2 linked regions of the Caenorhabditis elegans genome follow. The protein of the gene in region 2 purifies or fractionates together with the protein of the main gene of each other region. This does not show direct contact. Each region holds a gene or a part of one and is shown on either strand. Other genes may lie near its edges.

Evidence for each region.
Region 1: the proteins of W08F4.3 (region 2) and sod-1 fractionate together in Caenorhabditis elegans (co-fractionation; one large-scale study listed by BioGRID). This does not show direct contact.

What each region holds. Positions count from the first base shown.
Region 1 is NC_003280.10:6,970,745-6,975,403, forward strand, and holds sod-1 (Superoxide dismutase [Cu-Zn]), read right to left. Parts: upstream 3,144-4,659; 5' UTR 3,137-3,143; coding exon 3,089-3,136; intron 2,758-3,088; coding exon 2,674-2,757; intron 2,631-2,673; coding exon 2,472-2,630; intron 2,428-2,471; coding exon 2,274-2,427; intron 2,230-2,273; coding exon 2,132-2,229; 3' UTR 1,962-2,131; downstream 1-1,961. Other genes in the region: putative very-long-chain enoyl-CoA reductase art-1, read right to left, coding at 132-259, 314-623, 914-1,053, 1,098-1,328, 1,373-1,490. UniProt on the Caenorhabditis elegans protein: Protects cells against oxidative stress by converting superoxide radicals to hydrogen peroxide. Required for normal brood size. May be involved in regulating mpk-1 phosphorylation downstream of phosphatase ptp-2 during oocyte maturation.
Region 2 is NC_003280.10:577,673-584,013, reverse strand, and holds W08F4.3 (Sigma non-opioid intracellular receptor 1), read right to left. Parts: upstream 3,413-6,341; 5' UTR 3,394-3,412; coding exon 3,258-3,393; intron 3,197-3,257; coding exon 3,075-3,196; intron 3,023-3,074; coding exon 2,773-3,022; intron 2,527-2,772; exon of another isoform or gene 2,460-2,526; intron 2,357-2,459; coding exon 2,178-2,356; 3' UTR 2,000-2,177; downstream 1-1,999. Other genes in the region: W08F4.12 (F-box domain-containing protein), read left to right, coding at 462-586, 657-790; fbxb-14 (F-box associated domain-containing protein), read left to right, coding at 1,265-1,903; cdc-37 (Hsp90 chaperone protein kinase-targeting subunit), read left to right, coding at 3,421-3,512, 4,122-4,509, 4,556-5,164, 5,805-5,927; W08F4.7 (CW domain-containing protein), read left to right, coding at 6,282-6,341.

The sequences.
Region 1 (4,659 bases), 6.4 Mb from region 2:
TTTTCAAGCAAACATTTATCTGGAGAAATTGTCTATTTAATAAATTACTGATTGAAATAAGCGGATTGGTAATAATAGAACTGCAAGAGTACATGAAAAATACAATAAATATTCGGCGCAAATGCGATAATTTAGAGAACAAATGGAACGATGGCCTTGCGATTTTTTGGGTAATCTGGGAACTCCTTGAGGTAGTTGCGGTGCTTTCCTTGGGCCCAGATTGCCATTTGAGCGAATCCAGCGGTGGTGAAGATGATTGCTAAATTTTAAGATTATGAATAAAATCAATTATATTTACAAGTTTTTTATTTACCTGGAAGAGATTGGACCATAATGGAGAAGAAGATCCATGATGCGACCTCATATGTGTAGTTCGGGCACGAAACGTAGTTGAAGAGGAGAGAAAGTGGATTTCCATCAGGCTTTGGAATACGACGTTCGCGGGTTCCAGCTGGACGGAGGTTGCGGAGAAGAATGTGGATCGAGAGATTTCCAAACTCCGAAATCACGAAACCGGCAAGTCCGAAATAAACCTGAAGATCTCCGAAAGCTGGTGGTGTGAAAAGTGGGTGATTGACAAAGTAGGCGACGAAGGCAGCGAATCCCCAGTAATAGGAGCAGTTCTGAAAATTCAGGAAATAGAAATTTGTTTATCGATTAGTGAATTTTATTTTTAATCTTGTCCGTTTCAAAATTCTCTACTAAAACTACCTAAAGTTGTACGAAATATTCTAACTTTGAATTTTAGGCATATTCAACGTTTTTACTAGTTTTTTTTTGTTGCTATATTTCAGATTGAAAATTGCCGTAGAGCGTAAAATAATTTTTTCATCAACGCAACTTTTGCAACTTACTATTAGTGTCCCTTATTACTTTTTACTCAATTGTTTTTATTTTTATTTTTGAAACATGCCTTGACTAAATTGAACTGTGGCATAGTCGAGTTTCCGAATCTATGGATGAATTGAGTTTCGAACAATCTCTTGGCGTAGTGGAAGCTCCATGCAAAGAAGGCGATTTGTACTGCTGGATGCATGGTAGCATTGACAGCGGCTGTAATGTAAGATATTGTGTGAAATAATATTAATCCGGCTCACCTTGTCCATAAATGAAAGTTGGTCGAAGATAGAAAAGCGGATAAACGAACAAAGGTCCAGCATACTCAGCCATGAAGACAGTCTTCCAGGCGATTTGTGGTCCGAGATCTCTTACATATAAAACTGCTTTTTGAGATGAAAGTCCAAGATCGGAGAGTTTTTGGTCATCAGCCAATGGTTTACCCTTTGGTTCGACACGGAGAGCCTGACGTTCTTCGGTGAGTTTCAGCTCTGAAATTATTTAGCTAATAAATCATAAATTTCGATTCACAAACTTTTCTGGGCAATTCGCTTCTTGATAGCTTTGATCGTTTCGGATCCAGAAATTCCCTCGAGGGTGATGATGAGATTGTCCGTACGCTTTGCGTCATAAACCTCCAGAATCCCACTCATTCTGAAAATTGAGGTTTTATATAAACTGAAAAAAAGGAATTTTCACAAAAACTGGCTCTATTCAGAAAGAAACGAATTTTTTGCAGTCCACTATTATAAAAATGGTGTGATTTTCTTTTACGGGTCGCTATCAATTGAACTGATAAAAAAAGAAGAGAAGCATTGTGAAAATGCCAATTGAAACGAACGACCTCGAAATAAAATTTACTAAATGCATTAAAAAATAGAAATTATTATATTTTCAAAGATTTTTGTCTGCCTTAAATAAGGGAAAAGCGATAATATTTAAACGTTTTTTGAAATAGCCTCATTATCAGGTGATTCTTATTCAACTGCTCGAAAAATCGCCCTTCTCCGTCAGAACTTGTTGATAGTTTAACGGCTGGCACAACATTTATGGCAGTTTGGTAACAAAACTGAAAAGTGAAGTATTGATATAATGAGCAGAGACATTGAGATTTGTAAAACATAGAAATTGGAAACTACAACCTTTATTTGAAATTTTGAAGAAATTTTATGTGAAAATATACAGTAGTAGGAGTAGGAACAACGGGATTCTTAAGAATATAACGACAAAGCAAGAAATGAAAAATTGTCTTTAGTAGGAATTGTGTGGAGATTCAGAGACGCGATTCAGGTAGTCACTGGGGAGCAGCGAGAGCAATGACACCGCAGGCAGCACGAGCTCCGGCGTTTCCAGTCTTCTTGGACTCTTCTGCCTTGTCTCCGACTCCCTCGCCTGGAAAGTTTACTAAATTGATTTTTAATTCGAATTGTTCATACCGAGGTCGTCTTGTCCGGCATGAACAACCATAGATCGGCCAACGACAGTGTTTGGACCGTAAAGCGTGACGAGCGTGTCGGTGAGCTTGATTTTTGCCACTCCATCGGCTCCAGCTTCCACATTTCCTAGATCGCCTACGTGACGGATCTCGGACTGAAAAAATATTATAATTCAAGCGATATAAAAAATTTCCATACTTTTGGTCCACCATGAGTCTTTCCAAATGGATTGAAGTGTGGACCGGCAGAAATGCATCCGTTGGTGGAATCACCATATTGGTGAACGTGGAATCCATGAAGACCGGGAGTAAGTCCCTTGATTTCTCCTTCAATAACTGCCTGGTCATTTTCGGACTTCTGAAAAAGAATACAAATGATTTAAGCGGAAAACTCGGCTAACCTGTGTGATCCAGATAGTACCGGTAACAGTTTCTCCACGAAGAACAGCGACAGCACGGTTCGACATTTTTTGAGCGGCTTCGACCTGTAAATTCAACGAATTTTCTAGGGAACACTCTAAGGAATATCACGGCAAAAAGTTTAGAATTAGAAAAAAACAGGCAGATCACAGTCGATAGATGCAAAATTAAAAAAGAAATGGTAAACACGAGAGAGAGAGAGAGAAGGTGGAGCGAGATGAAATAGACAACATTGTGTGTGTACCCGCCTCTCGGTCGCAGAATTTTGTAGCTATGTCTCTAGTTTTTGTGGGTTTCTGATGAAAATGATGATAATTAAGGTAAAGGCAACAACACAACGCCATAGATCAAATAGGCCCAAGTTGCGAATGACGAATGTTTCGGATAAGCACTGACCTGCGGAAAAATCGCGTTGGAGACCTGAGTGAGAAGATTCATAAACATCACCGATCTAAAATACTGAATCTACAACTTTGAATAATAAAGAAACAATGGAAAGTATGATTATGACACTGATTAAAAACCACAAAACAAAAACACAGAAAAAATAAGCGGCTCACAAATTCAACGTCTCCACTCTTGAAAACTCGAAATTGAACGATTATTTCAAGAAAAAGGATTTTTAATAACTAAATTTTAATTAATTTTGAGAATCGGAAGAAAACCGGGAGTGGAGAATCGTTTCTATAGAAACTACGAAAGCGTAAAGAAAATTTAGAGAAAAAAGAAAAAAACAACAGCAAAATAGTGTGCACGCATCAAACTTGACGAGCAATGCGCGTCAAATATGCTGTTCGAGAAAAACCGCGGTTATTTAAATGTGAAATTTTTGTGTTGCGAGAATAAATAGCGTCGGGTTTCTTTCATGTTGGAAATTTTCGTTTCCAGAAACAAGATATGAAGATCGTTATGCAATGAAAGTTTTTCCGTAGAAACTTTCATGTGAATCAAAACGCCGAAGGCAACAAAAAAAAACTACCTTACAGGTGCAAACACGTTGTGTTTTTTTTCTTTCTCTTCTTAAATTTGACGGGGTTGCGGAATTGAACTCAAATTGTAAACGGAAAATGTGGTTCTTTCAAAAATTAGATTTCCAAAAATTTAACAATTCCAAAATTTCAAAATTTCGAAATTCAAAAAACTTTGACCCCTTGACCCCGCCCACAACAATGAGAGGAGGGCCTCTCATTCATTATTCATCTTTGATCCTGTACTGGTGGGTGAGTTTAATTCTGCTCCAAAATTGTGGTAATTGGTTATTGCAAGAGACTTCGTAATGGAAGTCATCTTGAGAATCCCAAGATTGTCCCCCAGACGTAAGTAAGTATAAGATGTAGTTGTCTGGAGTCAAGTGGTTTACTCTCGATTAATCCAGACTGGCTAACCTGGTGCCTAACGGTTTCGAGTGATTGGGGTTGGGTGATTGGTATTCTTGTTGATACTATATTCTAAAGATATGATACGGTCGGGGTAGGTAGGAGACTGAGTAGGTAGGTAGGGTAGGGTAGGTAACGGGGTAGGTAGGTAACTGAGGGCGCACGAGTAGGGGGCTAGAGGGGTAGATATCGTTTCATATCTTAAGAGTATAGTATCAGCAAGAATATCAGTCTCTCAATACTTGATTGCTCGAAACTGGTACGACACTTGGTCAGTCCGGTTTGGTGTTCTATCATTGCCTGTCGGTAATGGTGCTAAATTAAGATTAAGATTTTGAAAAATAACAATTTTTATTTTTTTGAATTTTATTTCGAAAAATGTTCTATAAAATAAACTCACAGTTGGTTAAAATTTAAATTTTGAATAAATAATAAGCAGCATGAATCGCATAGTTATTCTACTGTACTAAAGCTGGCAATTTTTGATATCAAAACTGATAATTCTGACAATTCCTATTGACGTAGAATATCCTTTTGGTCTTTATGATGTAGACAATGGAGGTGAGAAAAGAAGGGGGCTAAAAACCCAAG
Region 2 (6,341 bases):
AATCCCGTTGGTTTTCGCAACTTCTTCGCAAGAAATACGGTACATATGTTTTAATACGAATAATTAACATGAAAAACATAAAAAATGTAGAAAAAAACTTTTTTTTTTGGTCGACTTCCAAAATTATGAGTGGCAAAAACTGAGTAATTGCCACTTTTTTGCAGTTAATAAAAAACTTTCAGAAATTTTTTGAAACGTTTTATTGTGATATGCAGCCAATGTTCCAAAAAGTACACTGAAAAAAATTAAAAAAAAAAGACATTTTTGGCAACTTACCAAAACTTTTGCTGAAACTTTAACAATCTGAAAATTTTTGGACAGTTTCATTTTGATATTCGGTCAAATTGAACTATTGAATTCATACTGAATCCCCACTGACGATTCATTCTTTAAAAAATTAATTTGGAAGAAACCCCAAAATAACAGCTTCAAGTTGACTCCCAAACCTTATGTTATTTCAGATTCTCGATCTCTCTACTCTCAGCAAAAGCGAAAACTGCGGTTGCCAGAGTCAACGGGAACCACGAAAGTGTGTCATTCTCTGATTCGACAATCAGGCTGAGGTCCAGTCTCAATGACAGATATTGTAAGAATCTTCACGATCCTTGTACTCTCCCACCGTCATACAAGAGCATTACTTTCGTATAGTCTTACAGGTCCAGCAAGTGATGTCGTAGCGGATAACATCACGGTTATCCGGCCAGAACCGCTGCCCAAGACAACGACTAGGCCTGCCAACGTTTGGAGGTCACGATGCAAGCGCGCCCCACCGGACGGCGCGCGGATCTGAATTGCCGGCGCCAACTCTAATTGTCATCATTCTCGACTTTTCTTGGCCCCGCCCAATTCCCCTATATAAGGAGCCGGAAACGCTCATTCTAGGTCTTCTCTAATTCCTTTTACTTGTGTTACTTATCGTCCTTTTCCCCTCCTTACATGTCCCATTAACTCGGTGATTTCTCTATTAATTTATCCTTAATAAACCGTAATAACCTCAAAACCTCCAACTCTTATTATTCTTTAAAGAATTAATTTGGAAGAAACCCCAAAATAACAGCTTCAAGTTGACTCCCAAACCTTATGTTATTTCAGATTCTCGATCTCGCTACTCTCAGCAAAAGCGAAAACTGCGGTTGCCAGAGTCAACGGGAACCACGAAAGTTTGACATTCTCTGATTCGACAATCAGGCTGAGGTCCAGTCTCAATGACAGATATTTATTCATATTTAAAGAAAATCCACCGAGGGTGGTAGCTAGAAGGAATATGCGAGGATCTGAAGACGAAATCGAGATTCCTCACCTCACACTTATCAAGTTCCTGGACCACATCCACGAGGTTTTGCATCAGAACCGGCAAATCCACATTAACCTCGAAAATGGGATGAATGAAGAGATAAAAACGATTTGTTCTCTCTTTGAGAACAGGAAGATCGCGAGCTGCAGCACCACATCCACGGAAGTTCAGGGGCACCATCTCTTCGGGACTCATCCAGAGAACCTGGAGATTGTCGTGGTCCCAATAAGAAAAGAACTCTTGGTTCAAAATTATGAGGAGCTGAAAGTCACCAATCTCACACTGAACGAGGTGTTCTTGTCAAATAGTCGAACGCTTCGTTCATTGCACCACTCAATGACTGCAAAGGATGTCAACTTGTTCTTGAAGATCTGGATTCAGAACTCACAGCTGAGAATCAGTGATCTTGTTGTAGATGGTCTGAATATTGAGCATCCTGTACATGGAACTATTCTCCGCGGAATAGACTTTACTAGATACGAAGATCCTCTGGTCGTGGATGATGGAATGGTTCAACACGTCCAAATTGTGTGCAAAAGAGGGATCAAGGCAAAGGTTTCCCTCACCAGAACTACTGTTCGATTCGTCCGGCTGGCCGACGATGAGTAAGCAGCGACTTTTGATCATCTTTCACTGCAAATGCCTTCAAATACCTGTGCAATTATTTTTTTCGGTTGAGCTATATGGTTAAATGGTTGAGGTGATGAAATAAATATGTTCTTGTATTTTAAATTATGCAATAAAATGGCTCAAGAAATCGAATTACACAACCGTAAAAATGGAAGTAGAGGGGGGACATTGGGATAAAACATGACTGAATAAATGAAAATTTCGGGTTAGAATGCTTGTAGAAATGCACCGGATGGGGAATCACATAAATTATTTAAAGTTCTCCAGTGGCGCGGGCCTTGTAGTGCTGGAAGACACGATAGAGGGTGTGGCTCAGGTTGTTCCAGTAGTTGTAGGCCTGCTTCATGTAGAATTGAATGACCGAGAGTGGCTCGCCGAGTGAGATTCCAGAGGTGACGTGGACGGTGGAGGAGAGTGGGAGGAAGCCGCGACCTGAAAAATATAAAAATTCATTAGAAACGAGGGGATTTTTATATGGGTCTGGTTGACTACAAACTACAAAATTATATTTAGCAGACCAAGCGATTTCAGTTCGAAATTGGTCTGCTAGACTACAAACTACAAAATTATATTTAGCAGACCCAAGTGATTTCAATTCGAAATTGGTCTGCTAGACTACAAACTACAAAACTGTATTTAGCAGACCATGCGATTTCAGTTCGAAATTGGTCTGCTAGACTACAAACTACAAAATTATATTTAGCAGACCAAGTGATTTGATTTCGAAATTGGTCTGCTAGACTACAAACTACAAAATTATATTTAGCAGACCCAGGTGATTTTAATTCGAAATTGGTCTGCCAGACTCAAAAAAAAACGAATTTTCCTTGATTTTCGGTGTAATTTACCGTAGCACGCGACGTAGGTGTCCTTCTCGAAGCTGTACACGTGGGACTCGAACTGTCCGTGCCTGAAAGCGGCTCCCGAAGCAAAGTTCTCCGACGTCTCGTCCTGAGTTCCGTCATTGAATCGGCTGACTTTTCCTTTCAACACGGTGCACGTCGTATTTGCCCAATGGAGCCCCGGGCGTCCTGAAGTTGGGAACGGAGCGGAGAAGGCGGCGGCGAACTCGGTGAAAGCGGTCAGCATTGGGTACATCTGGAAAATTCATTAAATTTAAGATTTTTTTTCGATTTTTCCTGTTCCTCACCCTTAAAGTGAGGCCTCCCAACTGAATAGCGTGCCATTCGAAGTGACTTGGCATGATTGGCTCGTAATAAGTGCGCATTCCAGACGTCAATGTGGAAATTGACTGGGAGATTGTTGGAGCAGCTGAAAATATACAATATATTAAAATTGCGGTATTTTCGCAGAAAAATATGTTTTTCCTCACCAGCAGCCTTTCCAGCGATAGTCTTGAACTGCTTCGGCGAGATGTCATAAGACTTCCAGCGGAGGCCAAATTGAGCAGCCTGGAAGACTGCGTAGAAGAGCAGAAGATACCGAAGCTTTGAGGTGAGAAGAGCCATTTTCACGTGTTGAACTACCCTGAAAACATGGAAATTTGGAAATTTTGCGTGAAAAAAAAAGGAAATACAGTCATTTCGCGAGTTTTCAAGAGGGACAGCGAGTGCGAAGAAGAAAAATTGTGAGTTTAACATTGATTTTTTGAAATTTCAGATGTTTTTTCGCGGAAAAATCAATGGAAATGCTTGAAAAATGCAAGAAATGGCGCTGCAGCGCGCTGAAAATTAAAAAAATCAGCGAAAAAGGAATTGTGTGCAAACACCGTGACGCAGAAGCACACAGAAAACACCATATCTGACGCGCATTGCCACAGAAGGACCGAGAAGAAAAACAAAAGTCATTTTTCGCCTTTCTCATGTTATTTTCGGGGTTTCCTTCGATTTTTTCCACTTTTAGAAGTCTAAATTTAATTCTACAGGCTTTTAAAAATCAATTTGTCGGAGTTTTGGGCCAAAAAAAAGGCCGAAATCCGCTAGAAAACGTAGTATTTCTATTTGAGAAATTTTGAAGAAATTTCTCGAAAATTGCTCAGCAAATAGTTAATTCCACGTAAATCCTTTGAAACATCATTATAATGCCACGTTTTCTTCATGAAATTTCTGTTTTCGTAATTTCACGCGGATTATCCTCGTTGTCGTGGCAACCGAGTCGGAATTTTCCAGCGATTATCAGTTTTCTCTCGCTTTTCCTGCTAATTCCTTATTTTCCACTCAATTTTCTCGATTTTCAGCTCAAAAATGCCAATCGACTACTCCAAATGGAAGGATATCGAGGTTTCCGACGACGAGGACGACACTCACCCGAACATTGACACTCCGTCGCTCTTCAGATGGCGCCATCAAGCTCGTTTGGAGCGAATGGCCGAGAAGAAGATGGAACAGGAGAAAATCGATAAGGAAAAGGGCACGACGAGCAAGAAGATGGAGGAGCTCGAGAAGAAGCTTGCCGCAGCCGATGTCACTGACAAGTCGGATATTCAGAAGCAAATCGACGAGGTGAAGGCGCAAGAAGAAGCCTGGCGCAAGAAGGAGGCCGAACTCGAGGAGAAAGAGCGTCTGGAGCCATGGAACGTCGACACGATCGGTCATGAGGCGTTCAGCACGTCGAGGATCAATAAGGTTTTGAAGATTTTTCTGTGCAAATTGATTAATTCTGTAATTTCAGATCACCGAGAAGAAGCCGCAAGCTCCCAAAACCGATGAGGAGGACACTCATGCGATGAGCACTTTCTTCGAGACTCACGAGAGCCTTCTGGAGAAGATGGCCGTGCTCAAGAACGGAGCCAAGTCGACGGAGCTGTTCCTGGCCGAGCATCCGCATATGGCGTCGGAGTACACTGCAAATTGGCTCACAATTGAGGCTCTCAACGCCGCCATCGATTTTAATGAGGAGAAAATGAAGACGATGGCTGAGCAATGCATCATCATTCAATATCTTCTGGAGCTCTCGAAATCGCTGAACGCAGTCGCCACGAATACCACCGTCCAGAAGCAATTCTTCAAGAAGTTCGAAGCCGCCGAGCCGGTCTACATGAAGCACTATCAGGATGAGGTGAAGGCGTTCGAGGATCGTCTCAGAACACGTGCGCAGACGAAGAGAGACGCCGCGATGGAGGAGGCTGAAGCCGAGGAGAAAGCCGAACGAATGAAGAGTGCTCCGGGAGGAATCGATCCACAGGAAGTGTTCGAGCAGCTGCCGGAGGAGATGAGAAAGTGCTTTGAGGCACATGATATCGAGGCGTTGAAGGGTGTCGCCCAGAAAATGGATGAAGAGGTGAATATTTGGGTCTGCTAAATTGAAATTTGTAGTTTGTAGTCTAGCAGACCAAGTTTCTTCCAAATGGCATTGGTCTGCTAAATCGGAATTTGTAGTTTGTAGTCTAGCAGACCAAGGTTCTTCAAAATGGCATTGGTCTGCTAAATCGAAATGTGTAGTTTGTAGACTAGCAGACCCAAAGTTTTCAATTTTCGCAATGAAAATTGCAAAAATTGATAAATTTTCAATTTTTCAGCGGAAAAATGAATATTTTTCAAATAGAAATTAGCAAAAATTCAGGTTTTTTGCGATTTTTAGTGGAAAATTGTGCGATTTTTGTGTTTTAAGACAAAAGTGCGTATTTTAATATAAAATCCTGAAAAAATCTGAACTTTCGGGGGAAAATTGATCTATTTTCAAATTTTTGAGTGAATTAACATTGTATTCCAAAAAAAAACGAATCAAAAATCAAAATTTTAAGCTGAAAACAGGCATTTTTTAATTTTGGTCTGCTAAATCGAGTTTTGTAGTTTGTAGTCTAGCAGACCAAATTTCTTCAAAACCACCTATGGTCTGCTAAATCGAAATTAGTAGTTTGTAGGCTATTATTTTTAGCCAAATTCATCTAATTTCAACATCCAAAAATCCAAATTTTCAGGTCTTCAAGTACCATTTCGATCGATGCATCGCCTCTGGACTCTGGGTGCCCGGAAAAGCTGACGACGACGACGACGATGAGGAAGCTGCTCCAGCCGAGGAAGAGCCAACAACCAGCTCCTAAATTTCCCCATTATTCCCCGTTTGAAAGTTCCCCTGATCTACTTGTTTTTTCTGCACCGCACTTTACTTTTTCCCCAAGATTCACTGAAAATGGCCCAATTATTTCTTTATTTATTCTACACCCCCCACGACATTTACTGTTTATTTTCCCTCTCGAACACCTGTAAAAAAGTTTTTTTTTGCTTCGAGAATCGTTCCACTTCGTATTCAAAAATTCCAATTCGGAATAGCATAAAGATTATCATCATCAACTTTCTTCTTATTGTGTTTATTCGTTTTTTTTTCTCACGATTTTTTGAAAGTGATGTTTTGTAAGCAAACGTTAGTCTCCGCCTGACAACTATAAAGTTCAATAATGGATGTATTATCGGTCATTTTTTGGCTGAAAATGGTAAATTCGCGGCTTATTCTACTA